Linked DNA regions of Lytechinus pictus. The protein of the gene in region 1 purifies or fractionates together with the protein of each later gene. This does not show direct contact. Links are inferred from orthologs where the notes say so. Each region holds a gene or a part of one and is shown in the gene's direction. Other genes may lie near its edges. The genes, in order: ubiquitin thioesterase zranb1-like, CTTNBP2 N-terminal-like protein, E3 ubiquitin-protein ligase HECTD1-like and GRIP and coiled-coil domain-containing protein 2-like.

The links.
Region 2: the proteins of ubiquitin thioesterase zranb1-like (region 1) and CTTNBP2 N-terminal-like protein purify together in Homo sapiens (affinity purification with mass spectrometry; 4 studies listed by BioGRID and IntAct, with this or other methods). This does not show direct contact. The link is inferred for Lytechinus pictus from reciprocal best matches to the Homo sapiens genes ZRANB1 and CTTNBP2NL.
Region 3: the proteins of ubiquitin thioesterase zranb1-like (region 1) and E3 ubiquitin-protein ligase HECTD1-like purify together in Homo sapiens (affinity purification with mass spectrometry; 5 studies listed by BioGRID and IntAct, with this or other methods). This does not show direct contact. The link is inferred for Lytechinus pictus from reciprocal best matches to the Homo sapiens genes ZRANB1 and HECTD1.
Region 4: the proteins of ubiquitin thioesterase zranb1-like (region 1) and GRIP and coiled-coil domain-containing protein 2-like purify together in Homo sapiens (affinity purification with mass spectrometry; 3 studies listed by BioGRID and IntAct, with this or other methods). This does not show direct contact. The link is inferred for Lytechinus pictus from reciprocal best matches to the Homo sapiens genes ZRANB1 and GCC2.

What each region holds. Positions count from the first base shown.
Region 1 is NC_087256.1:1,015,443-1,022,635, reverse strand, and holds the start of ubiquitin thioesterase zranb1-like, read left to right. Parts: upstream 1-4,169; 5' UTR 4,170-4,263; intron 4,264-7,193. UniProt on the Homo sapiens protein: Ubiquitin thioesterase, which specifically hydrolyzes 'Lys-29'-linked and 'Lys-33'-linked diubiquitin. Also cleaves 'Lys-63'-linked chains, but with 40-fold less efficiency compared to 'Lys-29'-linked ones.
Region 2 is NC_087247.1:2,833,107-2,840,229, reverse strand, and holds the start of CTTNBP2 N-terminal-like protein, read left to right. Parts: upstream 1-4,105; 5' UTR 4,106-4,130; coding exon 4,131-4,220; intron 4,221-7,123. UniProt on the Homo sapiens protein: Regulates lamellipodial actin dynamics in a CTTN-dependent manner. Associates with core striatin-interacting phosphatase and kinase (STRIPAK) complex to form CTTNBP2NL-STRIPAK complexes.
Region 3 is NC_087251.1:34,599,221-34,606,420, reverse strand, and holds the start of E3 ubiquitin-protein ligase HECTD1-like, read left to right. Parts: upstream 1-4,183; 5' UTR 4,184-6,517; intron 6,518-7,200. UniProt on the Homo sapiens protein: E3 ubiquitin-protein ligase which accepts ubiquitin from an E2 ubiquitin-conjugating enzyme in the form of a thioester and then directly transfers the ubiquitin to targeted substrates.
Region 4 is NC_087260.1:21,965,655-21,972,960, reverse strand, and holds the start of GRIP and coiled-coil domain-containing protein 2-like, read left to right. Parts: upstream 1-4,283; 5' UTR 4,284-4,360; intron 4,361-7,306. Other genes in the region: uncharacterized protein LOC129279614, read right to left, coding at 554-712, 2,212-2,325, 3,689-4,015. UniProt on the Homo sapiens protein: Golgin which probably tethers transport vesicles to the trans-Golgi network (TGN) and regulates vesicular transport between the endosomes and the Golgi.

The sequences.
Region 1 (7,193 bases):
AATCATATGGTCATTTTTACGTTTTTGTACAAGGTTTTGGAAAAAAGTGGGGGGGGGGGGGGCTGAAGCCCCCAGCCCCCCCCCCCCGCTTCCGCGGCCCCTGTAAAGATATATCCAGATTTCTGCAATATTACGTTCATAAAAAACCACTGTTCCCTGTGTTGCAGCTGTGAGTGTGGACTTTCGGACAGTCAAATGCACGCCGACTAACCATTATGCTTTTGCCTCCCCCTAGCTAGGTTAAAATTCATGGTGCCACCACTGCCCTGGACCCGATCCACATAGCATTAATTGGCCCCCAAATAAAGTTCTACAACCGAGAAAAAAAGATGAAAGGAATTAAAAGGAAGATGTAAGATATGATGTTATTTTCTGAATACTCCTTGTAAAAATCAATCTCAGACTTGTCAGGAAAATGTGATTTTTTCTTGCTCGCTTCGCTCGCTCAAGACTTATTTTAATCTTTTTGCCGCGTGCGCCATATGCTATGCCCCTATATATCACGCATTGAGCTTCAACCTATAATGCTCGGGTACAATCATAAAAAATCCTGTTACCATGATATGGGAAATTGGCTCTTGCCCCCTCCCCCTGGCCACCGACCCCTGTTACGCCCTGGCCCTGAGAATATTCATGATGACGTGCATTATCTGCATATAAATAATATCACAAAATATTGCTTAAAGGGATGGTCCAGGCTGGAGATATTTATATCTCAATAAATAAAGAGTAAAATTCACAAAGCAAAATGCCGAAAATTTTATCAAAATCGCAGCCATAACAAATAACAAAGTTATTGAATTTTAAAGATTTGCATTATATTCCGGTGAAACAGTTCTAGGCATGTCTTTATGAATATATTAGGTAAGCTCAGGGGCGGAAATCTCTCCCAAATAGTAGGGGGACACAGGGGCGGATCCAGCCTTCGCCAATAGAGGGGGGGGGGCGGAAATTTGTTTCAGCCATATTTTCCCCGATCGGCAGCTCGAAGATGATTTTTGTTTGTTTCTTTGAAGGGGTAGTCCTCATTATTCACTTCTTAGCATTCTTATAAATTAATATATAATATCATAATCCTTATTTATATGATGCGAGCGCGAAGCGCAAGCTAATTTTTTTGGGAAATTTTATGTATGTTTCCTAAAATTTGAACTGATTCTGGGCAATGTTTGTTATCCTGAAAAAGATGTGCATACAACCTAATAATTACTACGAACGCAAAGCGCGAGCAGAAATGAATTGATGGAAAAGATACCGGTTAAAGTAGCATTTACCAATCAAATAATAATAAATTTTTTGACATTTTCACCTAAAGAATGGAAATTCTAAGCACTTTTTGTAACTCAGGCAGAATAACTATATAAGTAAACAATTAATGCGAAGCGCGAGCGGAAAATGTTGAGATTTAATCCTATATAATATTTACTGAACGGGACACTCTATTCATGTTTTGTAAATCCTGGAAAGGATGAATATTGATAATGCGAGCGCAAAGCGCGAGCAGAAAATTTGTATATAAGTTTTGAACTGGTACCTGTTAAGGACTGCTTGCACTTAGCCATGAAGGCGTTACATATTTCAACAATCAAAAAATGCGAGCGCGAAGCGCGAGCTGAAAAAATTTGAATTTTCTAAAGATAGAATGGAAATTTTTATAATCAGTTTTTGCAATCGTGAACAGGATAGCTATATAACTTAACGATTAATGCGAGCGCGAAGCGCGAGCAGAAAATAAAATCGAGATTTAGACCTAAGAATGGGCCACTTTGTTCATGTTTTGTAAATCATCAAAAGGATGAGTAATATGGGGTCTTCCTACATAAATAATGCGAGCACAAAGAGCGAGCAGAAAAATTTTGATATTGTGATCTGAAACTGGATAATGATTTAAATTAGAGAACAAGTTGAGAATCTGAATAAACATGAGCGAGCGTGTTTCATATTTAGACCAATAGAATCTAGACATTCTAAATACAACTTTAATCATGAAAATCATGAAACTTTGATATTCCGATCTGAAAAAAGAGTAAATTTCAGCTTTATATTTCAAGCACTTTGAAGAAAAATTGTAAGGTGGATATGGATCGCACTTAAAAAAGAGCTGATATTATTATTACTTTGAGTTTTGACATAGGACCGGGACATCCTTACGACATGTCATCATATGAAAATGATGACTATCTTCCTATTCCTCTTGCTAAGCGCGAAATGAAACAAAAGGGACAATTGAATTAGTAAATTAATATCATATTTATTAATGCCTAATGAGGGCGCGAAATCTGATATCATGGCATAAAAACTAGACATTTCACTTTTGTGATTATATTTTTTACCATTAATGCGAGCGCAAATCGCGAGCTAATTTTTTTGATAAACTGTCATGAAAAGGGAATTTTAAGTAGTTTGTTATAATCAATATTGAAACATTTATATAAGTCGCCAATCAAAATACGAGCGTGCAGCGTGCTAGCTGATACGTCTTGACAATCAGACCTGAAAAGGGATATTTTAAAAACTTTATGGAGTACACGAAAATAGTACCTGATAAACCAAAATTTCCGAGCGCGCAGCGCAAGCAGCAAATGTTAACATTCAGACCATAAAACTGACATTTTTACAGAGCACTTTTTAAAAACCAATTCATAAATTACACAAAATAATGAAAGTTCGATTTCCGAGGTGAAATATGTTTTGTATGTTGACTTCCAAACTTGATATTCGAACTCCATATTGAGCAAGATATGTAAATCACCTAACAGGCAATGCGAGCGCGAAGCGCGAGCTCAAATTTTATATAGTGGCACGAAAGATTCTTTTTATTTTCCAAGTCTTCCCCTAATCTTATTTTATGCACTCGTCGTCCTTCTCTTCTTTTTCTCCTCTCTTTTCCCTCCTTTTTCCTTCTTTCTTTCCCTTTTTTCTTTTTTTTTTGCTCCGCCAAGGGGGGGGGGGGGGGGGGAGGGAGGGGCGGGCCCCTCGGCCCCCTGGATCCGCCTATGGAGACAAGGGGCGGGAAAATTTGACAAGCAAATAGAAAGGTTATCAGCGCCAAAGTAAGGTCATCTCGTCCCAAAATTCATGTTTTTTTCGATTTAGAATGATGTATTTCTTACCATCATAAAAGACCAAAAATAGTAGGGGGGACATTTGATATTGTGTCCCCCCCTACTATTTTGAGTAGGGGGGACACGTCCCCCCTGTCCCCCCTGGGATTTCCGCCCATGGGTAAGCTGATGAAGTCATATCCCCACTTGTTCTTGTGTATTTTATTATATGAAATTAGGTTATTCAAAAAATTTCAAGCAAGAACTAAACAATATATGATTGAAAACTGATTAGTGCATTAGTTATTTATTGCCGCAACTTATTTCATCATAATGGAGAGACATCATTTACACATGTATGAAATAATGAAACATTTATGATTTTATGTAACAACATAAGAATAGGGAAAGTGGGGATGTGACATCATCAGCCCACCCAATGAATATTCATGACGCTGTGCCCGGCGATGTGCCTGTTTTCACAAAATATTGATAAAATTATTTAAAATTCAATAACTTCGTTATTTGTGATCCAATTTCGATGAAATTTTCAGCATATTGCTTTGTGATTTGTTATTTAGATATAGATATTTTCAGCCTGGGCCATTCCTTTGACTTTCAAATTCAATAACTTCGCTCTTAGTTATCTGATTTATAGGAAAGTTTTAGCCTTTCGCTCTATGAATTTTACTCTATTTATTTAGACATAAATATTTTCAGTCCTACCCCTCTAATGAATGTTTCGTGATTATGCTCGAGCAATTGACCTAGAAATATGACAGCTGTTTTGATAATATTTATGATGACGAAAATAGTCAAATTGACTGGTTGCCAAATAAAAAGAAGAACCCCCCTGACGTAACTAGTTTGGCTGCGCTGCTGTGTTTTGCTTGGGTGGCATTCTACGTATTTTTAATTCAGTGGTGACCGACGTGCTGAGCTATGCCCTGTGTTGAGACAATAACAAAATTCCTGCAAGTCAAGTTTATAGGATTATTACTCTCAAAACACATCATATTTTTTTTAAGGAGAATTCTGATTTTTCAATTAGGTTTTTATTTTTTTATACATCTCTATGAATATTTATAAACAAAATCTCATTTTTCTGGGGGCAATTTCTGGGTTACATAAATCGGCAACATTTAAAAGGAAAGAAAAAACAACACAGAATGAGCAACAGAATATCTAATGAATTTCGGGATTTTGGGCTCATATACAGGTAAATACTTTATGTATGTTGAAAAAAATATGTTAAAAGTTATTTTCAAACTGTAAAAAATATAATTTGGTGGGAGAGTGAATGGTTGATGGGCCTGCTTTTTGTGCCTGTAAATATAATAATTTCGCACTGCACTGCACACCGGGGTCTGCACAACAGATTCGGTAGCCTGGACCTGGTACGGTAGGTATGGTACCGTAATTATTGTGTGAATCAATGTGATGTGGCTACTGGCCGTTGCTTGTGCTTTTCTCGCGCTCGCTTTACCTACTTATCAATGTTTGTCTCTGTGTTTTTACGCTGCTGCTGTGTTGTGCTGGGCAAGAGGCGCTAATGCAATTTCGCACCGGTCGATTACCAGCATACCGGTACTTATTACGGATATTACATGTAATGTATCTCACCACCACTCCAGTAACTCACTGTTCACAAATGTATGTCAGTAGAGGCACACGGCCAATAGGCAATATTGGAGACTGTCTCCAAGTCCAATGTGGGAGATTATCTCCAATATCAGAGACTTTTTTAAAGAATTTGGGTATCCAATTTCAGAGACAGTCTCCAGTTTTGGAGACCAATTTTCTTTGTTTACATTTGCTGCAAAAGGATTACCTTGGCGGCAAATAAAAATGTGATAAGCAGATTCCTCATGAAAAATTACCCCTTTTCACCGTCTACTTTAAAAATTCACCGTCTACTTTTGTTTTGATAAGGATTTTTGTTGTCAATCACACACAAAACAAATGGGCTTCTGACCTCATCGAGACAAAATTTTGGGTGGAAAAAATTGTGCTTTTGTTGGTGTTGTTTCTTTTGTCGTTTTGCAAAGCTCTAATGTGGGAGATTGTCTCCCCTATTGGAGAGAGTCTCCCATATTGGCCGTGTGCCTCTACTGTATGTAGCAAGTCTCTCAGTCTCGGTCACATTTTGAGGTCAATATACCCACCGCTTTTCCAAATATCGCGATCAGGAACGGCTGCATTTTGGCTTCGCTCTTGACATCATCGTGCGAATCCTCACTCAGTCATGCATCGCTTCGCTTGGATTCGCCGTGCACCATATTCATATGGACTGAAGTTAATTAGCATTGAATAGCAACCAAATCATGCTAACAAAACAGTAACATGCTGCATTAGCAAACAAACTGCCGGCATGCCGCAGGCGATTCTTGGTCGCTAATTCAGTAGTGACAGATCGTACCGACTGCTTTTCCTAATATCGCGATCGGTAACGCCAACACCGCTTCACTTGGCTTCGCTGCTCGCCGTAATAAAATGTTGATCTGTCACTAAGTACTACTGAATTAGCGACCAAGACTCGCCTGCGGAATGCCGGCAGTTTGTTTTTGCTAATGCAGCATGTTCGCATGATTTGGTTGCTTCAGTCCATATGAATATGGTGCACGGCAAATCCAAGCGAAGCAATGCATGACTGAGGATTCGCACGACGATGTCAAGAGCGAAGCCAAAATGCAGCCGTTCCTGATCGCGATATTTGGAAAAGCGGTGGGTATATTGACCTCAAAATGTGACTGAGAGACTTGCTAGGACATTAGTGAACAGTTACTGGTGATGAGGTATGCTGGTAATCGACCGGTGCGAAACTGCATTAGCGCCAGGCAAAAGCCTAGCCCTAGGCCTAAGAAAGGTCCTGGATCTGGATAGGGTCAAGAATTGAGGAGGGGCACTCATTCAGTGAACAAGGTATATGATATAACCTTGTTCTCAGTATAACTTTAATCTCCATGTGTGGCAAAATAAGAGTGGCAATGTTTGGCTTATTTTCTCTTTTTCTTTGGGACAAATGCTTGATTTTTTTATGCTGACAGTTTCCCTTACACCTATTCGTCATACAACTTGGCTCTTAAGTAAATTTGATTCTTTAAATTATTTTTTTCGTAATTAAAAATAGAGATAAAAAAATGAAAATTTTCTTGCCATATGGTATCACAGGCCTAAATCATTCCCCATAGACTCGTGTGTTAAATTGGCACTTAAAAAAATTCATAAAAAATAAGGGTGAAATTCGGGGGTCGAATGTTTACTACCAGTGGATAGGATATATATCTGGCAATCCATATCTGACCAGAAAAGGGTCCCTCGACCGGCTCATTTTAAAAATAAATTGGCGTGTTTGAAGACACCGTCGGGGGGAGCAGATTGATCACCTCAAACAGCAAAATAGCCCTAATCCTTCCGCCAGTCAAAATATAGTCCAACATTGGTGATATTTCTTCCCAATTTGGGAAAAGGAAGTTCAATAATTACCAAAAATAGAATCAGTGTTAGATGGACAATCATATGCATACACTTTGTTAATCAGCCATATCAAAATAAAAAAAATAGCAATGGGTTGGCTCGAATGAATATCTATGGCCTGCCTCTAGTGATTAGGCCCGTGAAGCCTGTATTGTAGGGCACATGAAGGTTTCTTTTTAATTTACCTTCCTGGCTTTTCTTTAACATCTGTACACTCACTTTATCACAAAGAAATGCATGAAATATACAGATGTGTTATGTAATGACCAATTTTAATGTTACTCCTAATGTCTAGTGCCCTATGGATTTACACACATCCTACCTGCCTATATGTAGCTCAACAATGGATGCAATGTAGGGCCCAAATCGTATAATGCAAATTGTAGATATGAATAGTGTGCATATCTGGATTCAAGATCTGCCCACAATATAAATACCAGATTCACATGAGTTAAATTAGATAACAATAAAAAGAAATGAGAATCAACATACAAGCATACTATACATTCACATCTTCCTATGACAAGGGCCCAAGCCAAGGGATGTAAGAGAGAGAGACAGGGAGAGAGGGGGGTTAGATGGCTTGTATCCTAAATGGATGGGGGCTAGTCTGGCTAGAAGTCAGTAAAAGTTGAACAAGATAGCAGTAGCACTCATTCTCAGCCCCCCCCG
Region 2 (7,123 bases), on another chromosome or scaffold:
ATCAAGACATGTGAGCGTCTTTTTTCTCTTTCCAGCTGGCTCAGCAGTAAGATTTTCATCCTCCTCCTGTACCCCCTCCTTTTCCTCCTCTACCACCACCATAACCCGCCGGCCTAAGAGGGGTAGCTTGGGCAGCTTTCCCTTTTCTGGTCCTTTTTGTGGGAGGTATGTTTGAAAACGCCGTGGTATCGCCTCGTAATCAGTTGCAAATATGATAATCCGCCACCATCGGCACAGCGTTTTATAGCAGCGCGGACGGTTGTTGCGCAATCGCTGCCCAGTCATCAGCAGCGCAGCAAAAGTGCAACGCGAACGCCTGTAGCGGGCTGAGAACGTGTGCCACTTGCCACCCAAAGAAGAAAGCGTCGTGGTGGAAGCTGTGTGAAGCGTGTCAAGCGCAAGTCAGTCGCCTTGTAAACGGAAGCAGGGTAGCAGAATTGTCTTGGGAACGGGCCTGAAAACCACGGGCGATCGGTGCCGCTTTTAATGCGCTTATACTACGCTTTATGCGTTGGGGCTCCGTTACAGCTACGAATATGTCGTTTGTAATACGCTCATGACTCGATTGTGATGCGCTTTAGCACCTCCGCGATCTCGCTACGTAAGTTTTGAACATGTTCAAAATTTTGTGGCGACCAGGAAGATGGTGGCGATCCTTGCCGCTTCAGAAAAGATCAAGGTACGACGGAGAAGATTGAAAAGATCAAGGCACGATCAAGCTACGTTATACCACGCTTTGTCGATTTTTGACGATCGCAGTGGAATCGCCATCTAGTGAGATGGGGGTATAAAGTGATGGATCCAGGATTTATCCCCAAAAGAGTCTTGATAGACCCCATACATTGTAAGTCAGATATCCCATTAGATAGACAGTAAAAGGCCACGAGACAGACACTAGGCTAATACCCTTTTTACACAGGATTTTCTTAACCCCGGACTATCGCTAACCCCGTACTATCCTTAACCCCGTACTATGTTTTTTTCCTTTTCACACATGCCAAATTGTTATCGCTAACCCCGGATAAGGAATGCTTGCTTTTCACACACGAAACTCGCTAACCCCGGACTAGTGGTTTTTGTCGATCATTCGTAGTACAAGTACTTCACTCGTACCTTTTTACACACGCTAAAATTTCCTTAACCCCGTACTATATAGTACGGGGTTAAGCTTAGCCCACTTTCGTTTTACACTAGCGATCTTAACCCCAGCGATCTTAACCCCGTACTATCGCTCTTAGCACCGCAATTGCTGGGATAACCCTGCTTTTTTGCAAGGCCAAATAATCCCGTACTAAAGGTGGGGTTAGCCCACTTTGCAAAAATGCTGTGTAAAAAGAAAGTGGGCTAAGCTTAACCCCGTACTATAGGTGGGGCTAAATTGCCATTTAGCCCCACCTATAGTACGGGGTTAAGGAAATTTTAGCCTGTGTAAAAAGGGTATAATATAATCATGGTTTACTTTGTGATTGACATTGTACACTGTGAAAGGGCACACAGTCGTGGAATATCAAATTTCATTAGGGAACCTGTAGTGTATGACTCATAAAACAAACACTTCAATAGAGAAAGGGTTCTTGTCCAACAAAGATGGGGGTAGATTTTATGGAGTAATATATCTAAAGCCACCTAGCTAGTCTTTAACACCTTAGCTGTATAAGGAAATAGGATTGTAAATTTGATTTGATAGGAAGGTGTCAAAGACTTCACACGTTTACATTTAATGAGACACTCAAGTCAACTACATACATGTATGTACATGTATATACTATAGGCCTAATTTTCCATGGTCCAACTTCCCTGGTTCAGGCTGCATTAAAACATATATGATGTAGGCCTAAATTTATAGGTGGTTTTCGACCTGGCCTATGTCAATGTTTCCCCATCCATGTTCATTGTATCGATGGGATAGTACTGAATGCAGGCATACATATACAAGTGTAATGCTGATGTTTTTTCGTATACATACATGTAGGGGCTGAGTCCAAACGTTTAAACAGCGTTTAAACGACTGTTAGCATTAACATTTATATGTTTTCTATTTTGAAAACCATTAGACTCTATGAAAAAAAGCCATCACAAAAGTTGATGAAATTTCACATTTTACATTTTAACATCCATTAAATGCCCATCTATATTCCACATTTTCTTAAAATAGATGGAAACTATCAATAAGAATATTCCCTTCTTTCTTCATTCGTAAGATCGTTCTTAGTTGATGCCACTCTCGATCATCCTACATGAAAGTCCATACATGTGGGACTACAATATGTACAATATAAATAGAATTTCATCATGTTCAAAGCTTCATTACCATCAAACTGGCATGAGTGATGTGAATGAATTAGCTCTAATGTCCTTTTATGCAGGAGAATTGAACTAGTATTTGGGCCTATTCCCCATGGTATTCTGCAGGGCAGATCCAAGATTTCCTTTATATAGGAGGGGGGGGGGGGGAGGTCCATATTTTGTCAACTGTCAAAGTCCTGTAATTACAAAGAATTTCATATCCCAGATTTTAATTGACCATAAATGAAATGTCCCAAAACAGATTTGATATAATAGGCCTGTACAGCAATTATCATTCTGATTCATCTTTTTGCAATGAATTATTTGTTTTAATAGACCATTTTTTTTTATTACCGTACCAGTAGTTATTCATTCTTACTCTTTTCATTGTCTGTATATGCATACTGACTTAGGAATGCTGTTGCTAGAGTGACAAATCACTCGATATGGATCATATGACTCATTAAAATGCATCATCTTTTTTTACAATTCTGCTCGTGCAATATTCGCTGCAAGATATGGGCATAATTTCTTTTTTCTTTGTTGAATGTTGGTGCTGAATATATGAGATTATAGATCTCTAGTGTCCCCATTTATGTGTGTGTGTTTGTGACTCATTTCATTGTAAGGGGGATTCCGTTCGTAGGCAAGGAGCAGTCATAAGGGTTGGAACGGGAAATCTCAGGATTTATGATGGTATTTAGAATGCAGCTGATGAGGTCATTTTGTGAAATCCAGGGAATCTTAATTTTTCAGCTACACGTGCTGCAGCAGGAGCAACAACAGAAACATATTGTACACTGAAAAACATTTTGTGTACAGTCTGGAAAAAAGCGTACCGTACACCCAAACTTGATTTGTTTACCTCTGTATACAGTGTTATTGATCGAATGCAAGAAATGCAGAAGAGCTCTTTAAAAAATTGTCAGTGAAAAGTCACTGATGATTTGTTTCACAATATGCTGCCCTGATTAAGAGTCTTGAGACTAGTGATGACTTTGCACAGTGCCTTGCAGCACGTTTGAAAGACTGGTGCGTCGCAATTGCATCATGACTGATTCAGTCACTGTGTGTACGTTTGTCCAGTGTGTGTAGGGCAAAGGATCTTTGTCCAAATTTGTGATTCGAAAAACTTCTGTGGACCTCTTTGATGATCAGCTCACCTTGGGTCATGCAGATCTTGATCTTGTTTGGATTTTATGATGACAACAGTTCATGATAATTTCTCTCTGTGATTTTAGTGTACTCTAATCTGGGCACCTTTTCCTTGTATTAATATTCATGCAGCTATTACATCAATAGGATTTCTGGTTGACTGGTTGTCAGCATATTGGAATGGATTGAATAGAATATCTTGTGTATACATGTAGATGATGAATTGAGCTGGTCATTCAAAAAAACTTAGAAGGTTCCTTTTTATCTACTCAGTTGATAAACATGTTTGGTTTTCATCTTTCCATGAAAAGATTGTGTGGTTGGTTTACCAGCATATCACCCTTTTTGATACTCTGCACACCTTGTTTGGATGACTAATGAAATGTCTAGGTACCCACAGTAGCTCAGTTCTTGACATAAACAAAGGAGATTCTCTTTTCCATGCATCTCCTTGACGTAATCATACAGGGGAAGAATATTTCATTGTTGGATTCCTACATGAACCTGTACGCCTGGTAAAGTGAGTCTTTGCTGAATAATAATGTATTTGTTAGTATTGTATGATTTGTATCAAGCCGATTGGATTTTTCCCGAGGTTTCATACATTTTCTTAATGTTGTCATTCCTTTCTCACCTTTTTCTTCTTTCTTGTCTTTCCTTTTCAGAAGCATCAGAAAGAGAAGGGGATCATGGAGTTCTCCAAGGCTGACTTGATGAAGCTTCTAGGGTTACTGGAGGCAGAACTCCAAGCCAGGGACTTGGTCATCAACAGCCTGAAGGTGAGTGAAAATTTCAATGTCAAGTTGTCCAGATCAATGCTATGGCTTTAATAATTGCAGGATCCTTTCACATTTTCTCTGTAGACTACATAAATATATGCGTGCATGTTCTGATTCCAAGTGAGTTGTCTCACTGCAATAGTTCTTAAAGTTTTTCATCAACTTTTATTGTCTGACAAATTTCAGTGATTTTGATTGGCTGAGAAGCACAGGTGTCTGACTGTTACTACGCCTTCATCTTTTTTTTATTGAAACACATCCCTGATGTTGCTAGATCAGGGCATTCTTTGTGAAAATATTGTCAGCATATGAAATTTACAAGTTAAATTTGAATTTATAGTGTGTAGGCCTACACTTTCTCACTGTTAGGGGGAAGAATTTCTTTGGGCTTTTCTTCACTCTTATTGTTTTCAACATTTTCTTTAGCATTTAATAATTCCCTTGGAAATCTCGACGGAGTAGCTGCTCCTACAGAGGCATGAATGGGGGGGGGGGGGGAAGCATTGGAAATTAGCCCTATAGAACCTTTAAATTTTGCAAAAGTACTATTAAACATACATTAATGTCAAGTTTTCAGAGTGCTTGGTGTGCAAAATTCTGTATCATAATTTTGTGCACAGCATGTGCCAAAAATTGTTGGCCTTTTTCACTTTTGCCCCCCCCCCTCTATAATTGTGAAACATGGAACAATGCCCCTGCCCTCCCAACCAAAATAAATATTTTCTTGTCACTGAGTTTCAAGTATCAAAACCATTGAGTTTGGTATTGCTAAGTGAAAAATGGGAAGAAAAATTTGCTGGGAACAGCCTTACAATATGCAACTGCACATTTTAAAGTGTGTTCGCCTCGACCCGTATGGACTAGCATTCTAATAGAGTCAAAAGACATGTCTTAATGCCAAGTGTCAATTACAATCATAATGCTGCAGCTGGTGTTGTTTGAAACTAAGACACCGGTGCCTTTTGCGCTATGTCATTAACACCTCTATCAAGCAACAACTGTCATTTCCAACTTGTCCTGTTTATACCACTGCATTCAGGAAACCAATATTGATCTAAGCGCAATAACCTTTACCTTCTAGCATCTTCAGCAGGCGCATTCAGATCACCTTGAAGTCGGGGAATACCAAGTCTTTGCATTATGAAAGCAAATTTCTAACTTTCTCAAGCCAATGTGTAGTTGGGCTTGGGCGCCATAGGTGGCTGCTGAGCTAGTGAATTTGAATAACACACTTAAAGCCTTTACATGTACCTGTTAATCAGACCATCTTGCGCATGCTCGTTACGTCGAGAACTTAGCCTGAATGGGTCTGTTTCGGGTAGGTATGAATGAGGGCTATAATCATCAGTTATTTTTTAGCCTGAAAAAGTTCTCGTAATTTAACAGATATTCTGGTCCTCGAGGCAGTCTGAATGCACCTAGTGTAGATTAGATGTTTCCAGAATCTAGCCTTGATGTTTGGTTGATATCGTTCTTGGCAAACCTTTGGTAGTACAGCAGCGCTATCAAATGTCAATTAGCAGAAATCTAAAAACAGTTATTCCTCAAAATGTTATATTAGATATTGACTTTGACTATCTGCTTTTCAGCTTTTTGGGGTATTCTGTGAGGATAAGAACTGCTTTCTTAAGTCACAGTTTTTTTACTGCAATACATTATGGGAGGGAATTATTTTAAACAGCGTATCGAGCATGGCTATCAAGTTGCATACAGTCCCATTCAAAATTGTCACACACTTTGCATATTATTGCTCTCATAATATCACTCATATCATAATCATTGTATAGATATTTTTAAAAATGTGTGATTTCCATAGAGATTTTTGTACAATGTGATAAAAAAGTGATGTTCATTGATTTGAAAAAAATGATCTAATTACATGTACAGTATTTCACCAATCATGCTGTTATACATGTAATTCTATACTGTGATTTCTTCCTCAATGTATTGCTAAACAAGAAACATAAATTATAGTAACTATTGTTGGAACTTGATTCAGAAAGTACAAAGAGTTGTTGTTGTTTTTTATATTGGCATTGGTGTCCATCTCAAATTCTAATACCACATCAAGATATCAATCTCCTGAATTACAAAATTTAATTTACATTTTCTCCATGACATGTACAAAAATTAATTTACATTTGCGACATGTATTACCTGTTTTGATATTCATTATGTACATTTAGGTTAATGCACAGAAACGGCACCAACTAAATAGATTGACATTGATATCAAACATGGTTATAGTTGTGAATCGCCCCCCCCCCCCCCGGACTGAATGAAAAGCTATGCTGGCTGTAAAGCTGTATACTACTTGGTGCCCAGTCTTTGTATATACATGCAGCTCATCATTATATCACAAAAGTTCTTTACAAAAAAATTGTAAGGAATTTAATTATTTTTGAAATATAATTTGTGCATGATAATGGATTATTTTGTTCAAATAATTTGGCTCTGCAAACAAAACAGACCATTTTGATCATTAACAACTGGATTCACCTCAATAAACATTGATTAATAAAGCAACATGCATCACTATTTGAATTATTCGTCTACATGCGAACCATTCTTGAGCTGTATATTTCAGCATCGGTAGGAAATTGTACATCATTATCGCAGTTTTTGCATGATGCAGATAACGCTATTTAAGCGGGCTAAATGAAGGTAGAAGGGAACGGAACATAAACGAGGAAAGATTGGTAGTCTAAGAAATTTGGGAAGCCTTTAGAGATCCCAGCTTCCTTACAAGTCATTAGTCTTCAAGTTTATGGTGATATACCCCATGAAAGTGGGGGATTGACAACTGACAAGGCGGTGCATTCACAAAAAAAAGTTTTGAAGGGCTTGGAGAAAAAAGTGACAGAAAAGGCTGATAAGGAAAATTAGCAGATGAACGACATTTC
Region 3 (7,200 bases), on another chromosome or scaffold:
CTATTTATCATCCCCTCATTGTGACAAAGCTTTGTGTCATGATCATGATCGGTCTACTGTACATGTAGTATTGATGCAATGGAGACAACCCAATCCAAATTAAAAAATGCTTGCACTTCATATAGAGTCATAAAATTTTGGTCTACATGTAGCATCTTTATAGGCTTTCATCTAAACAAGCTACAGTACATGTAGTAAAACTTTTTATTTTTGTTATCTTTATTAATCCAAGTTTCTTACATGTATCTCTTGAACCCAGTGAATTAGGCTTTAGCCTACTATTTGCGTAACTTGTGAAAATGATCTTGAGGTTGTGCTTTCTGGGGTTTTGTTTGTCTAGTATTTAAGCACTACTGCACAGGTACCGGTACATGTAAAATGAAAATAATAATCCAAGTGCATGTACATGTACATGTACATGTATGATCACATGTAGTCCTGGTGACTGCTAGTTTTTAACAAAGGAGTTTGTAAGTCAATCAGTACAGTATGTACATGTACATGTACACTGTATTTCTCTAAATGTTTTGTAAACATATGTATACCAATTCATGTTTGTGTTTTGATGCTCAAGAGTGGCTACAGGGATAGGAAAACAAGAGGTTAAGCATATAGGGGTATAATATCTCACACTACCAGGGGGGTTCCAAACAAATAATTCATGAAAATAGATGCTTGGTTTTATTTAAAGAGGAAGTTTGCCTTGAAATTATGTCGGTCCCCAGAAAAAGGAGGAAAATATATTAGCTAACAAACACAATGAACATTTAAATCCATCAAACGCACAAACCCAGTTTTAATTTTGTGATGTCATTTGCTAGCTGTTCCCCCTTATGAATTCTGATTATTTGAATATAATTTCTAATTGATTATAAAAAATGAATACAATTTTCCCCAGTAGCCTGTTGTTGTTTGATGATTTATTTTCATATTCCCATTAAAAACAGGTTATTACTGTATATTGTAGCCCTATATAAAATGCATGCAATCATATACAAATGAAATACATTTAATTTTAAAGATATTACAGAATACCACTACAATGCCTTTCAATTAAAAAAAGAAACAACATACTGTACATATATGTACCAATTTATCGTTGAAAATGAAAAAAGGAAACTAAAATAGGCCCTGTAAAATAAGTTCCCTTATGTATGCCATACAATGAACTAATGAAGTACCGTAAGGGCACTAGTATTCAACCCGTTTGGAGAGTTTCCTCAAATATATAGAAATACAGAATTTACCTGAATTTCAGACCCGTCTTATTTCCAAGAGCAAATGCTGGTTATTCTTTTTCCGTTATTTTTTTCTTCAACCAGTTGACTGTGTGCGCGGGCGATCGAATTATACGGCGACGGATTTTGGTACTAGTATTCAACCCGTCGGCACTAGTATTCAACCTAGCGATGAAAGATGGCCCTGTCTCTCAATCTGCCCTTGTCCCATCCGACTAAGGACTAGACCATTTGAGATGAGACCAAACAGGGAATTAATCAAAGCCAGAGACTTACATAGATCTAGATCTAATTTAGCAATCTAAACCCTTTTGAGATTTGCTATCAATCCTCACTAGGTTGAATACTAGTACCATTCAGTGCAAAAGGCCATCGCCGCATAATTCGATCCTCCGCGCATACAGTCGACAGATTGACAAAGAAAATATCGACAACAGATTACCCTGGAAATAACAAAGGTATGAAATTAAGATAAATTCCCTATTTCTAAATATTTTGGGGAATATGTCAAAATCTTTGAATTATGCCGGGTTGAATACTAGTACCCATACGGCTATTAGTAACTGAAAAACATTGAAAAAAAAACTATGAAGAGATATCAGTCTGTAACATTTGATGCATTAGATTATTCGCAGGGTGAAATCATTTTGACATTTTTTTTATAAATAAGAAAGAAAAAGACAGTTGCCTAGTATTTTCATCTCGCAAGGAACTGTATTAATATTATTTTTTAGAATATTACTTTCATGTCCATTTTGCATTTGTCGATTTTCATTGATTTGTTTGTCTCACTTTATGCTTGTAATAATTATGAGTAAACTAAAGATCTGTACCATTATCATTTATCACAATTATTTATATTAACAACATAGACACGGCATTGCCATCCAAGGACTTAATTCACATTCACATCATGTCCTTGCTGCGGGCATTGAGCGAGTCGCGAGAAGAGAACGGAAGGCAGGCGTCAAATTGCCCTAATAGACATGTTATGATGTGAAAGCAATGGTTAGGCAATTTCTTGCACCCATTTCATACTATACAATGTACAGTACAGGTGTACGCTAAGATTCTTTTTAAGTAGAATATAAACTCAGTACAATATGGATAAGATGATTTTGCACATGACATCATCTCAAGATGTATACGTTCAAAGTTGGCATTCTGATTCTAAATGTCAAAAGAGTTTTCATTTTGTTCTCAGTGCTGGAAATACACTGTACACGTATGTAGCTCAATTTTTACAAAGTCAGGTTTACAAACAAAGCAAACCACAATGTACATAATTTACATTTTACACTGCGCATCATGATGATCATTGTATGATATGTTTTGGATAATTGCCAGGGAGCGATCAGGATTCCTGTGACAAAGTATTCATGTCTGTATGACTCAATCATTAATTGAATTGCAATGTGTCCCAAATGTTCTGACTATCGTATCATAGCAAGGGAATATTCATGCTGAGAAAAACAATGTTTGAAAAGCAAACATGGATGAACAATATACAAATAGCGAATAGGCATGAGTGCGATGGTGCGAGATTTCGCATGAGGTGAAAGAAAGATGCTCTATTCAACGAGGCGTGAGCCGAGTTGAATAGAGCGTTTCTTTCTTTCACCGAATGCGAAATCTCGCACCATTGCACGAATAAGGATATTCGCTATTTGTGTTGTACAACGCCTCGGAATTTAGCGAAAATATGAAAAAACAAAGAGTTTATCCCTATAGTAATCTATGAAAAGGGAGCAAAAATACCGAAAGCAGAAAGCAAAATTCCACAAGCGCACATTACCGTGGGCAGCCTTGCGCATTTAGCCAGCTGGCTTATACGCGTATTGTTCATTTTTACCGAGCGCAATGAATTAAATCGTATTGTGACGTCACCTCCTAAAGCCGTGCAACGGTACATTTTGGACGGTACATTTTGGATGGTACGTCTTTTGTGCAACGGTACGAATGTTTGACATTCAGCCTCCCATTTGCTCGCGTACAACAAGCTAAGTAGGCGTTGTACAATGAAGGATTATACATGTAATTTGTAAAAGAATTTTAACAAAATTTATGTTAGTCACTTTGTCAGTTTTAATATATTTTGGTGTTGATGAACAATATATAATTGTTATCAGTTTTTTTTTAAATAAATACCATTTTACATATATTATGACAATTTGCTCATCATTCTTATTAATATAAAATATGAATAATGATTTTAGAAAATAATAATCTTATCAAAATGAGATTATTTAACTTTAATTGCAAAAGATTGCCAGCAGAATAAATTGTTCCTTTGCTATCAATATTCTTTCACTGTCTCTTAATTCCAGTTATGAAAAAAAAAAAAGAAATACTTATACTGGTACTGTGAACTCATGTTGAGAAACATCTAAGTTTCATAAATTGTAATAAATTGTGAGAAAATGTTGGCCACGGTGTAAACAAATATATCCCGTAATTGGTTGTGAACATCTGTGTACAAAATGTGTCTGGTGGGGGAAATATGCTGAAGGTGCGCCTGCATGGGGGAAAAAATTGTCCATAAATTTCATATGCACTTTATCAGCACGCAGGGAAGTAAATTGGCAATTAGGTGTTGCTGCAGCTGCCACTCTTGCCTCACTTGAAGGCAGTTTCGGTGGAAATATGTGACCTTGAATTTGAAAGCAGAGTGAAAACAACATTTTGAAGACATGTGCTGCACTTGATTTGATTTGAATTCATTCAGACAAATTTTACATATCTTAGATTGCCAAACAAGGTTTAGAAAAAACCCATACAAGTAGGCATCCCACAATATAAAACAAAATACATAATCAATGACATTAGATAGGAATACAAATAGGCAACATATATCAAGGCATATCATATTATAGATTGAAGTTCCAAATGAAAACTACAGTAGGGAGACAACAATTAATTCTTAAAAATACTAAAATTGCATATAAATGATATTTCAAGTGTCTAATTTCAACAAGTGATTGATTGCTACATGTTACTACCAGAAGAAATATAATAATCTGTACTAGCAAATGGAACATTCATCTTATGTAAGTGTGATAATTTCTTCCTATTCTATTTGCTCTGTGACCTACAGTGTTTACTTCTCCTACATTAATCAAGTTGAGTACAATCTTATAATAAAAAAAAACAAGCCGATGGTATTTACATCTTTTTTTAATAAGTTCATATTAATTTGTTTTAATAACACATAACTTGAAGTCCAGTCTTTGGACATTATCTTTACGTAATGCTTTTGGATGCGTTCAGTCATGTCTTTGTATTTATTCTGTGGGGATCCCATACATGATTCTAAGTTATGTGAACGAATGTTTAAAAAAGACTTTGAAATGGATATTGGGCAATTAACAACATTCCTTCTAATAATTCCCATTATTTTGTTGGATCTTTATATATAATAATGTAAAGCCGTGCATTGGTCATTCCAGTTTTGAGAATCATTTATTATGATGCCTAAATAATTTTCTGATTTTACGTTTGCACATGTATTTATGCGCAAGTATGTTGTCAACTTTCAATGGTTTGGATTGACACTCAGTCAAAATAATGAATTATGGTTTTATTATGGGACTACATGTAGTTCTGTTTTTCATATATTTACATGTACATGTAGGCCTATTTATGTTGATACATGTACATGTACCACAATAATGTTGAGAGAATTTTCAAAACATTTTTAAGGGTAATTTCACCCTGATAAAACTGGAAAAATTTAGAGAAAGATATTGGTGAAGGATTGATGAAAATTAGTGAAAGAAATTGAAACAGACTAAAGATTTTTTTTAATTTGAAATTATGATGTCACAAACGAGCAGCTCTGTATAGCTGTGGATAAATTCCACCAAATTGCATTTTCTCAAAAAAGTCATAATTGATTTCATTTATGCAGTGGATTTATCATCAGACACATGTACACCTGTACCTGTAATGGCATACCCCTGGCTATAAGAAAATAATATTATTCATCATATCTGTTAAATGGAAGTTGTTGCATGAATAATGTACATGTATAGGGAGCTGCTCACATAGGACATAATTTAAAACTTTGAAAATCCATATTAAAACCAACTTATCGCCAGGATGAACTTCCCCTAAACTTAGTTAAATACCACCAATATATTGTCTTCAATATGTACATCAGTACATTGCATGTTAAGGCAGGGGGGGGGGGCTGCTATGTTACTGGAAGATTGTGGATAGAAAATATAAGTGAAGTGCCTTTTGAAAACTACACTGTACAAACTCCTGTTTTTATTCACCAAAAAAAAATTTAACAATAATCCTCTGGTTCTTTACTTACAATATGTTGTACAGTAAAGCCTAACTTTATACATGGCATGAACATTACCAACATCATCTACTGAGTACATGAACATGCACTCTAACAAACTTTTATAACAATCAGAGGAACAGTAGGTACATTATACATGTACATGTAGTAAGCTGTGTATAGAGATGGACATATTTCATTATTGTTTGGGTAAAAGATGTGTGGGTTGAGTCATATACAGTGTAGTTTTCTTTCAGTACTCATATTTACACATCACTGACTGTATTTATCTATTTGTGTGTGTTTGCTCATTCTATATGATACAGATGGTAATAAAAAGCTGCATGTTCCTGGATGAGTAAAACCGTGATGTAAATTATATTAAAATGTTTTTATATGGGCATTGCAAATGTTTGCATGCACATGTATATAATGTATGCGTGCTACATATTCCAAGCATGGTAAAAACAATATTTTATAAAGGCCTATAGTCATAATATTCTACTCATTTGTCACATTTTCATAAGCATTTGATACACTGTAAAAAGAGTGAAAATTCATCTATCAAAACTACCTTCAAAATTGCAGTTATACAGGTAGGACATTGAAAAAAATGATGATGATGATACAAAAGGGCACTTGATACAGCTACATTGTAGGTGTTTCTGTTATAGCGTGCGAACAATATGAACAAGTAACAATATTCCTGTAATGTCATGTGTAAAATATATGTTTTATTTTCTTCTTTTTATTCAGCTGTCCACCTAGAACCTTTCTCCCCGCACTGTGCCGTATATTTCTTGACGAGCATGCTCCGGACAACGTACTGGAAGTCACTGCCCGAGCCATCACCTACTACCTGGATGTCTCAGCGGAGTGCACTCGTAGGATCGTGGCTGTAGATGGCGCTGTTAAGGCCCTTTGCAATCGTCTGGTTGTTGTCGAGCTGTCTTGTCGAACCAGCAAGGATTTAGCTGAACAATGCATTAAGGTAAACGTGCATGTACCTTGAGTAATGGTTTCTTTTATACTAAATTCTTGGTAAATTGCCAATTGGTCTACACCTGTTTTGTCTACTTTCCATTTGGTCTAATCCCACATGGTGTCTACTCCTACATGTAGTTCGTCTACAACTTATTAGTTTACTTACCATTTGATTAATTACCACTTCAAAGCCCATTTAACATTTCTTCTAATGTCCAGTTTAATATACATTACTCATTTCGTATTGGTCTAATACAATATGAACAGATAAACTCTTTCTGAATCAAATTTTCATTTTTTTTTAACAAAGTAAAAACTATAAATGAATAGTGGACATTAGACCAACTGGGCATTAATCTTCTGTAAGATTGAACTAAGTAGACATTAGACCAAGTGCAGTAGACCAAACAGCAATTGGACCAAATTGGTAGTAGACCAAAGGGTTTAGCCTATTTGGTATTAAACTGAACTGAGTACATGTAGTAGACCAAGTTCTTGTAGACCAAGTGAATATAAACCATTTCTTTGTGCCAAACATGCCATCGTGTTATAAAGTCATGGGGGACTTTCATGATGGAAAATTAATCTTGATTGCCAGAGGCATTATGAAGGAGGGGCACCTTGGCAGAGAGCTTTGAAATCTATAATTTACACAAATCCCCTTATCTTTCCGTAAATAGAAATATGTTT
Region 4 (7,306 bases), on another chromosome or scaffold:
GATATATTCGTCATGATAGCACAAATATTCTATAAGATACAGTAAATTTTATGTTTGGTAAGTGTAAACTTTTCTTTGAATTTCCTGGGTGTATGTAAACTTCTAGCCTCAACTGTATATAAAAACTCAATTTTATTTCAAGGACCACAACTCTGGAATTCTATTTCTGTAGACATCAAGCAATTAGTTTCATTAAATGTTTTTAAGTCAAAATCAAGGCAATTTATTTTAAATAGTAATTCATAAAGTTTGTTTGTATAAATTTCATTCAGGCATTATAGGCACCCCCCCCCCCCTTTGTTGTAGTTTAGTGATTTTTTCTATCTTTGTTATTGAAGTATTTGTATAATTATTATGTTATAGGGTCAGCTAATCACAAGGCTTGTTCCTTTCTTGCTGTCCCTATCATATTCAATCCAATGTTTATTTCTATTTGTTGTTGTTGTTTTTTCTATTTTGTGAATATGATACTTTGTATATGTATGTCTTTGTATGGATTTTTATGAGCAAATAAATTGAAATTGAAATTGAATTGAAATTGATATACACTCACTGTTGCCTCTGATCTAAGCAGAAGATGACAGTCCATACCAAGTTGTCTGCTTGCCACAGCTGTTGTTCTGCAGTGATTGGATCTTACCCCACCGCACGTGATCACGGTATCACAACCCTGGCTGACTGCATCTGCCAACAAGAATTCAAGCTTACGAATCTACAGAGAGAAAAGAGGGTAATATATTCAGTACATTGCCTCTTGGTTTACACTAGACAGCTGGCAGCCGTCTGTTTCGAGGAGTTTTTTAACATTTTTATTTTATTTATCCTTGTACACAGACGGCTAGCGATCGTGCAGCTGCCGTTAGGGGATTAACAATGCAAAATCTCCCCGATGGGGCTCATTGATTTTTGTATTTATTTCATAAAATATATAAAAAGAACTAGACAAAAATAAAGATTATTATTCCTTTTTGTCCTGCAATGCACCAAAACGGGGAAAAAGTAAGCTTAAAAGGACAAAAACGGTGATTTACTTTGGCTGTCACGCAACTTCACTTCCTTGGTTTATCCGAACTTAATACATTAAAACATACGGCCATTGAGTCCCTGTACAGATCGAGTTAGAACTTCGGTCTCTGTATTTGGTGAGTGGAGCCAACGGAGTTCAGCGGAACAACCAATTTAACAGAGACCGAAGCTTTTGGTCTAGGTATACACCTGCTATGTCTCCTTTCTGCTTGGTCTCATCTCATATGATCTGGGACCAGTGACACAAAGCTTAGCAATAATTGTAGAACATTTTTCTACGATTGATTCATTTGATTACAATGGACAAGCAATCGTGGAACTCAAGCATACGATTGATCACTAATCTTTGTGTTACAGGACCCAGCTTGTCTACTAACCTATTCGGTCTAACAGCCATTTAGCTTTTTTTTCAATTAGGCTATACCGTTTTGTTTATTTGGACTAACAAACCTAGTCAATATGATAAGATGAACTGTTTTTTAATCAATTTGTTATTTATTAGTAGACAAAATGGAAATACGAACATCTAGGAACTTAGACTAAACAAGAATTAGGCCATTAAAGTGGACATTAGACCAAGTGTACTGTAGTATAATCAAAATGGCAATTAGCCCAAATGGATTTGGCCCAAGTGGTATGAGACTATATTAGAAATAGACCAAGTGAACAATACAATTAACTTCTACTAAAATTCTCATATAAAACATAATCATACTTTACTATAAAAAAACAAACACAAAAAAATGATCTGCATGAATATCATCTCTTTATTACCGGTATGCACATGTCATATACACCATTATGTGCATTTCTATATGAGTAATTGAGTTTATAAGAATAAAACAAATACCCTTTCTAATTTGCTTTAATATTAAATTGAATTTCTTGCAAGTAGAAACCAGTGGCAAAATAATTTAAGGGGGGCTGAATTTTGTTACAGAGACTATTTCTACAAGTAAAAATAAAGTGGGCAAAAAAAATCAGGGTCTTTAAACATTTTTTCTTCACAGATTTGGCCTCGATTTTTAAAATGCAAAATAGTTAATCTTGCAATTTACTCTGAAAGGAAATTCCCTTAAAATCATGAAAAACAAAATAAATTGTTTTGATGAAAATATAATTTTTCAGGATTTTTGGATGCAACTGAAAGGCAAAAAATACCCAATTATATATGTGAGATTTTACCTTATTTCCTGATAAGGAGCTCCCAGTCATGTCATCTCTTTTGATGAATACTTCAAAGTTTGTTGGTGTTCCAGGAAGATGCCATCTATGTATGGGTGTGTTCAGCATGGCAAGCTAATAAAGAAGAAATTTAATAATCTTAGTCTCTAAATCAATAACGTTGTGTTGCGATCTTTCACAAATCATCAATGCAGGCATTGCTTACCGGTACTTAAATCACATTTTCATGAATTTGTAAAAAATTGGTAAACTCTAAAACATACAAGTCGTTTCAAGCAAATTTACAAAAGATATGTCATACATCATACAACTAAACCAAAGAAAAAAAACACTGAAAGTAATGATTCATTATCTCGGAATCCAAATTTAATTTTTTCTTTAATAATTGATCATAAAGTCTGTAAACTTAAAAATGTCCATTTTAGTAGACCAAACTATGGTAAAAAAAATAGAAATGATAATACTGGTCAACCTGATATAAAAATATATATTTTTATTGACTTAAAATGAGCCGAGTCTACTAACAGGAACACTGCATAAGCTGACTAATAATAAATAATCGTTTGCAATAAATTTTTACAATTAAGACTAAGTCTACATCTACCTCAGATCACTCATTCAACAAACAAGGTTATGATATAACCTTGTTCCCTGTTGGCAATGTTTGACTTATTTTTTCTTTTACTTTGGAACAAATGCTTGATTGTTTGACACTGTCAGATTCCATTACAGCTAATCATCGTATAACTTGACTCTTAAGTAGATTTGATTCTTTAATTATTTTTTTCTAAATTAAAAATAGAGATTGAAAAATTACAATTTTCTTGCCATATTACTTTCCACCAATAGAAGGGCATACATAAAAATATGCCCAAAATTCAAGTTTTTGAGCGCTCTGGTGAATACAAAAATTATATTCCCAAGTTACTAATGAAAAATAAATTTCAACTACCGGTATATGGATATTAGTAATTTTGGTCAAAAAAGTGTTATTTTAATGATTTTTAGTGTGTGTTGTGTACTGCATTGGCATACCATTTAAAGTTTTACAATTGAGACTAAGTCTACATCTACCTCAGATATATTATCTTGATTCATGGACCGAAACTTTGTTCTCTCATGTCTCTGTATGGTTGTTTTAGCGAGATATTAACTTCCTACACTACATCACAAAATTAGTATTAAACTTTTTTTCCCATTGAACTCGAAACTTCGATTAAAATTTTGAAAAAAGAAGGAAATATTAGGACAGGTTTTTAAAAGATATTGCTTCAGGACTATTCACTATTTTGTGATGACCTAGGTTAAGTTAGTCGAATCCAACATATTGGCCATCAAAAGAAATATTTTTTTTTTTTAAGAGATAGAATTAGAAGTTAGACTTGTCTTACTTAGACTTAGACTTAAATTTTAAGTACTCTATACTAGTATAAGTCTAAAAAAGACTTGTCTGTTAAAAAAAAGCCCATCATACTACCTCTATTCTTTGCTTTGGAATGTTCTGCATTTTTTCCATCCATGGCGCTGCGGAGTAACTCTTCAGAGGAAAACCATCCATCAGTGCTTCACCTTCCGATGCAAGAAGTTGAGAAGTTGTGAATGTGACTGAATAAGAATTTGATGTTGGTCGCCGAGGTATGCGACAGGTATTCAAATGCGTGGGACCGAGGATTGAAAGTTTGCGTAAAATGTTGTCCCCCTGTGGAAGTGTTCTCCAGAAAGGAACTCTATCGAAAGTTAACAGATAATTCGGAATGAATTTCCAGAATATAAATGGTTGTTTTATTCGTGTTGATAAAATCATCACTGGTCAAAAAGGGGGAAAATCTTAAGATTTCGAAGTAGTGAAAATTTCCTTTAAGATTTTTATGAAGCACCAAACGGTATGCAATGTTTTTTTTAGATAGTTAATGCTTATATCTACAGAATGATGACTCATTCTTTATAATTCAAAATGTAAGACAAAAATATATATCGAAATTTTTTTATATTTGAATCAGCTTATGTAACTGACATTTTTCATTAATTTTATCATCAAATTTTAATATATTTGGAGAAATTTACTTCCGGGAGCTTCCGATTCTTTAGCTTCCCATACAAGGATACAAACAAGAAATTTGGCCACGTAGAAAAGCCTGCAACTTGATGGGTGAGATTGTGTTTTACTTGTCTTTAATTCCATAAATTTCTTATCTACCTTTGATGATTATTGCATATTGTGTTGATGAGAATATTTAGATACATTTTAAATTAGCTGTGTTCGTGTTTTAACCAAACAAGTACGTTTGAAGAGCTGTGTGATGAATGTGTGTTGCTGCGTTGCGCCCGCCACTGCAGCGTTTTGTTGATGTGAGAGTGCAGATGCGATATGCGCTGGCTCCCGCAACTCCCGGCTGGCATGTCGCTCGGGCTTCGCTAATTTCTAACTGTGGCTTTGGAATTGGGCGTGCCTCTAGCCAGGCGGCTTCTTGAGAGTAAAAATCATTTACTAACGTAGGCTTACTCTAAACGAAGCCAGGGAGTCCTTCCTATTCATCTGCGGGCATTATCGTGGTTTATGTCACCAGTCCATTCATTGCCGTTTATTTCGTCAGCGGTGGTGACATCTTTCCACTTCCATTGACTTTGTACACAACGTTCGCACACACACCGACACACACGACAAGAGAGGTGACAAATTTCACGATAAGGCCTCTGCGTGTACCGCAAAAAAACCCTGAAACTTTCGCCCCCGAGATTTCTACTTTCCTTCTAAAAGATCTAGCTCTAAATCATGTACATGGGATAAGTTACGTTACGGACGTGAGCGTCGCGTAACGTTGGGGAAGTACAATAAGAAACAAGATGGCGGCGTAAACATCGGGCAAGTCTCTTCCGTCTTTTCACAATATTTTTTCATTTTTTGATGAATTCTTGTTTAAAAATAACAACGAGAGCGTAGAAATGTCGGAAATGAAGTTTTATCCCATGTACATCATGATTTAGAGCTAGATCTTTTAGAAGGAAAGTAGAAATCTCGGGGGCGAAAGTTTCAGGGTTTTTTGCGGTACACGCAGATGAATAGGAAGGACTCCCTGGCTTTGTTTAGAGTAAGCCAGGGGTGTGAGAGTTCAGATTTTTATCTGATTTCAGATTTTTTTGTTTTGATTTTCAGCTTAATTTCAGCTTATTTTTGGCCTTCCTCTGTACAAAAAGTATGGGAGCTCTTTCTATTTCAGACTTTTTCAACACTCTTCAGCTATTTTCAGATCTTTTTATTTGTGACCACTCACACCCCTGGAGTAAGCCTACGTTAGTAAATGATTTTTACTCTCAAGAAGCCGCCTGGCTACGTGCCTCCAGTTAAACGCTTTCTCAAGTTTCAATGAATTTCCCCATAAGTGCTTGCCAATTCAATTCATCATGTTCATCACAAGTATAAATCATCAGTAGAGGTGCTGGTCCAAAAATTGGGATTGTCCCAGAAAACAAGGATATCCTCATCATAAACCAAGACAAATCATGTCTTTGATAAATTGAGACTGTCCTTGTTTATGGGGACGTTTTTTTTTTCACTTCCCCCTACGGGACAAAGACATCAATTACGGGAATTGAGAGTGCTAAAAATAGATTCAGTGACCTCAATTCCCCCACTGCCCCAGTTCACCATCTATTTTTCATGACTTACAGTCTTCCAATATTCTTGTTATGAAACCTGATCTGTTTACATTGACTAGCGCACTTGATTGGTTTCGGCACTTGACAGGTGAATGAACTTTTCCAGATTTCTTGTGTGGAAAAATCTTTAAACTGGGACGATCCCAATTTTCTAACCAGCGCCTCTACTGGTGATATGAATATATTTACCAGCCAGCGAGGCGCCAGGCCCAGGGCAGGGCTTGACACTAAAATTTTTGGCAAGAGCCAAGACGTAGTCGTAGCGTAGCAAAAGAGCAAAGTCAAGTCAAAATTTCCATATGTACCCCCCACTAGCCAGGAGGCTCCTAGAGAGTAAAAATCATTTACTTACGTGTGCTTACTCTCCATGGAGCCAGGGATTGCGTCCCATTCATGTGCGTGTACTGCGAAAAAAACTGAAATTTTCGCCAAGAGATTAAGATTTCTACTTTCCTTCTTAAAGATCTAGCCCTAGATCATGTAAATGGGATACAACTTCATATCCGACATAATGATATTTTATTTTTCAACAAAAAAATTATTGAAAAAGGGAGAAAAATATTTTGAGAAGACTGGGAAAAAACTTGCCAATGCATACGTCGCCATCTTGTTCTCTTTGTCCTTCGGCAAGCTCCGAGACGCACATCCTCTGAATTCTGATATGCGTCTCGTAGCTTGGCGAAGAACAAAGAGAACAAGATGGCAAACATCTGCAAGGTTTTTCCCCGTCTTCTCAAAATATATTTCTAGTTTTTTTAATGAATTTTTGTTTAAAAATGAAATCAATATCGTATAAATGTCGGAAATGAAGTTGTATCCCATTAATATGATTTAGGGCTAGATCTTTTAGAAGGAAAGTGGAAATCTCGGGGGCGAAAATTTCATTTTTTTTAATGGTATACGAACACGAATGGGATGCAATCCCTGGCTCAGTGGAAAGTAATCACACATTAGTGAATGATTTATACTCTCGAGGAACCTCCTGGCTACCCCCACAAATGGAGAAGGTTCAGATCTAAAGTTAGCCCTAATATAGAACGTATATGATGGGGGAGTGAAAATACATACCAAAATATGGCTTTATTCCGTCAAATTTCAAGCAGGATATAGAGCGTGTAATTGTCCATAAACATCGGTTTATTTAGTCAGTAAAGTGTCTGTGAGTCTAGATTAGTCGAACTATCGTCTGAGAATCGTTAAAATACCCCTTCCTGTATCAGCGCTTCTTGCTAGCATAGCGGGAAGAGGTCTTGACTGCAGATAAAGCGAGGTGAGTTCGAGTCCCAACTGCGGTAGGCAACAGTAAAAAAGTGATAGAAAAATCTGAAGTGAACGAAGCGGAAGTCTCATCAATCTTTTGTTGTTTTTGGTGGGGGTGCATATGGAACTCTTTCCAAATTTTTACCTGTGCATGGTGAGGTGCCGGAGTTCATTTTGG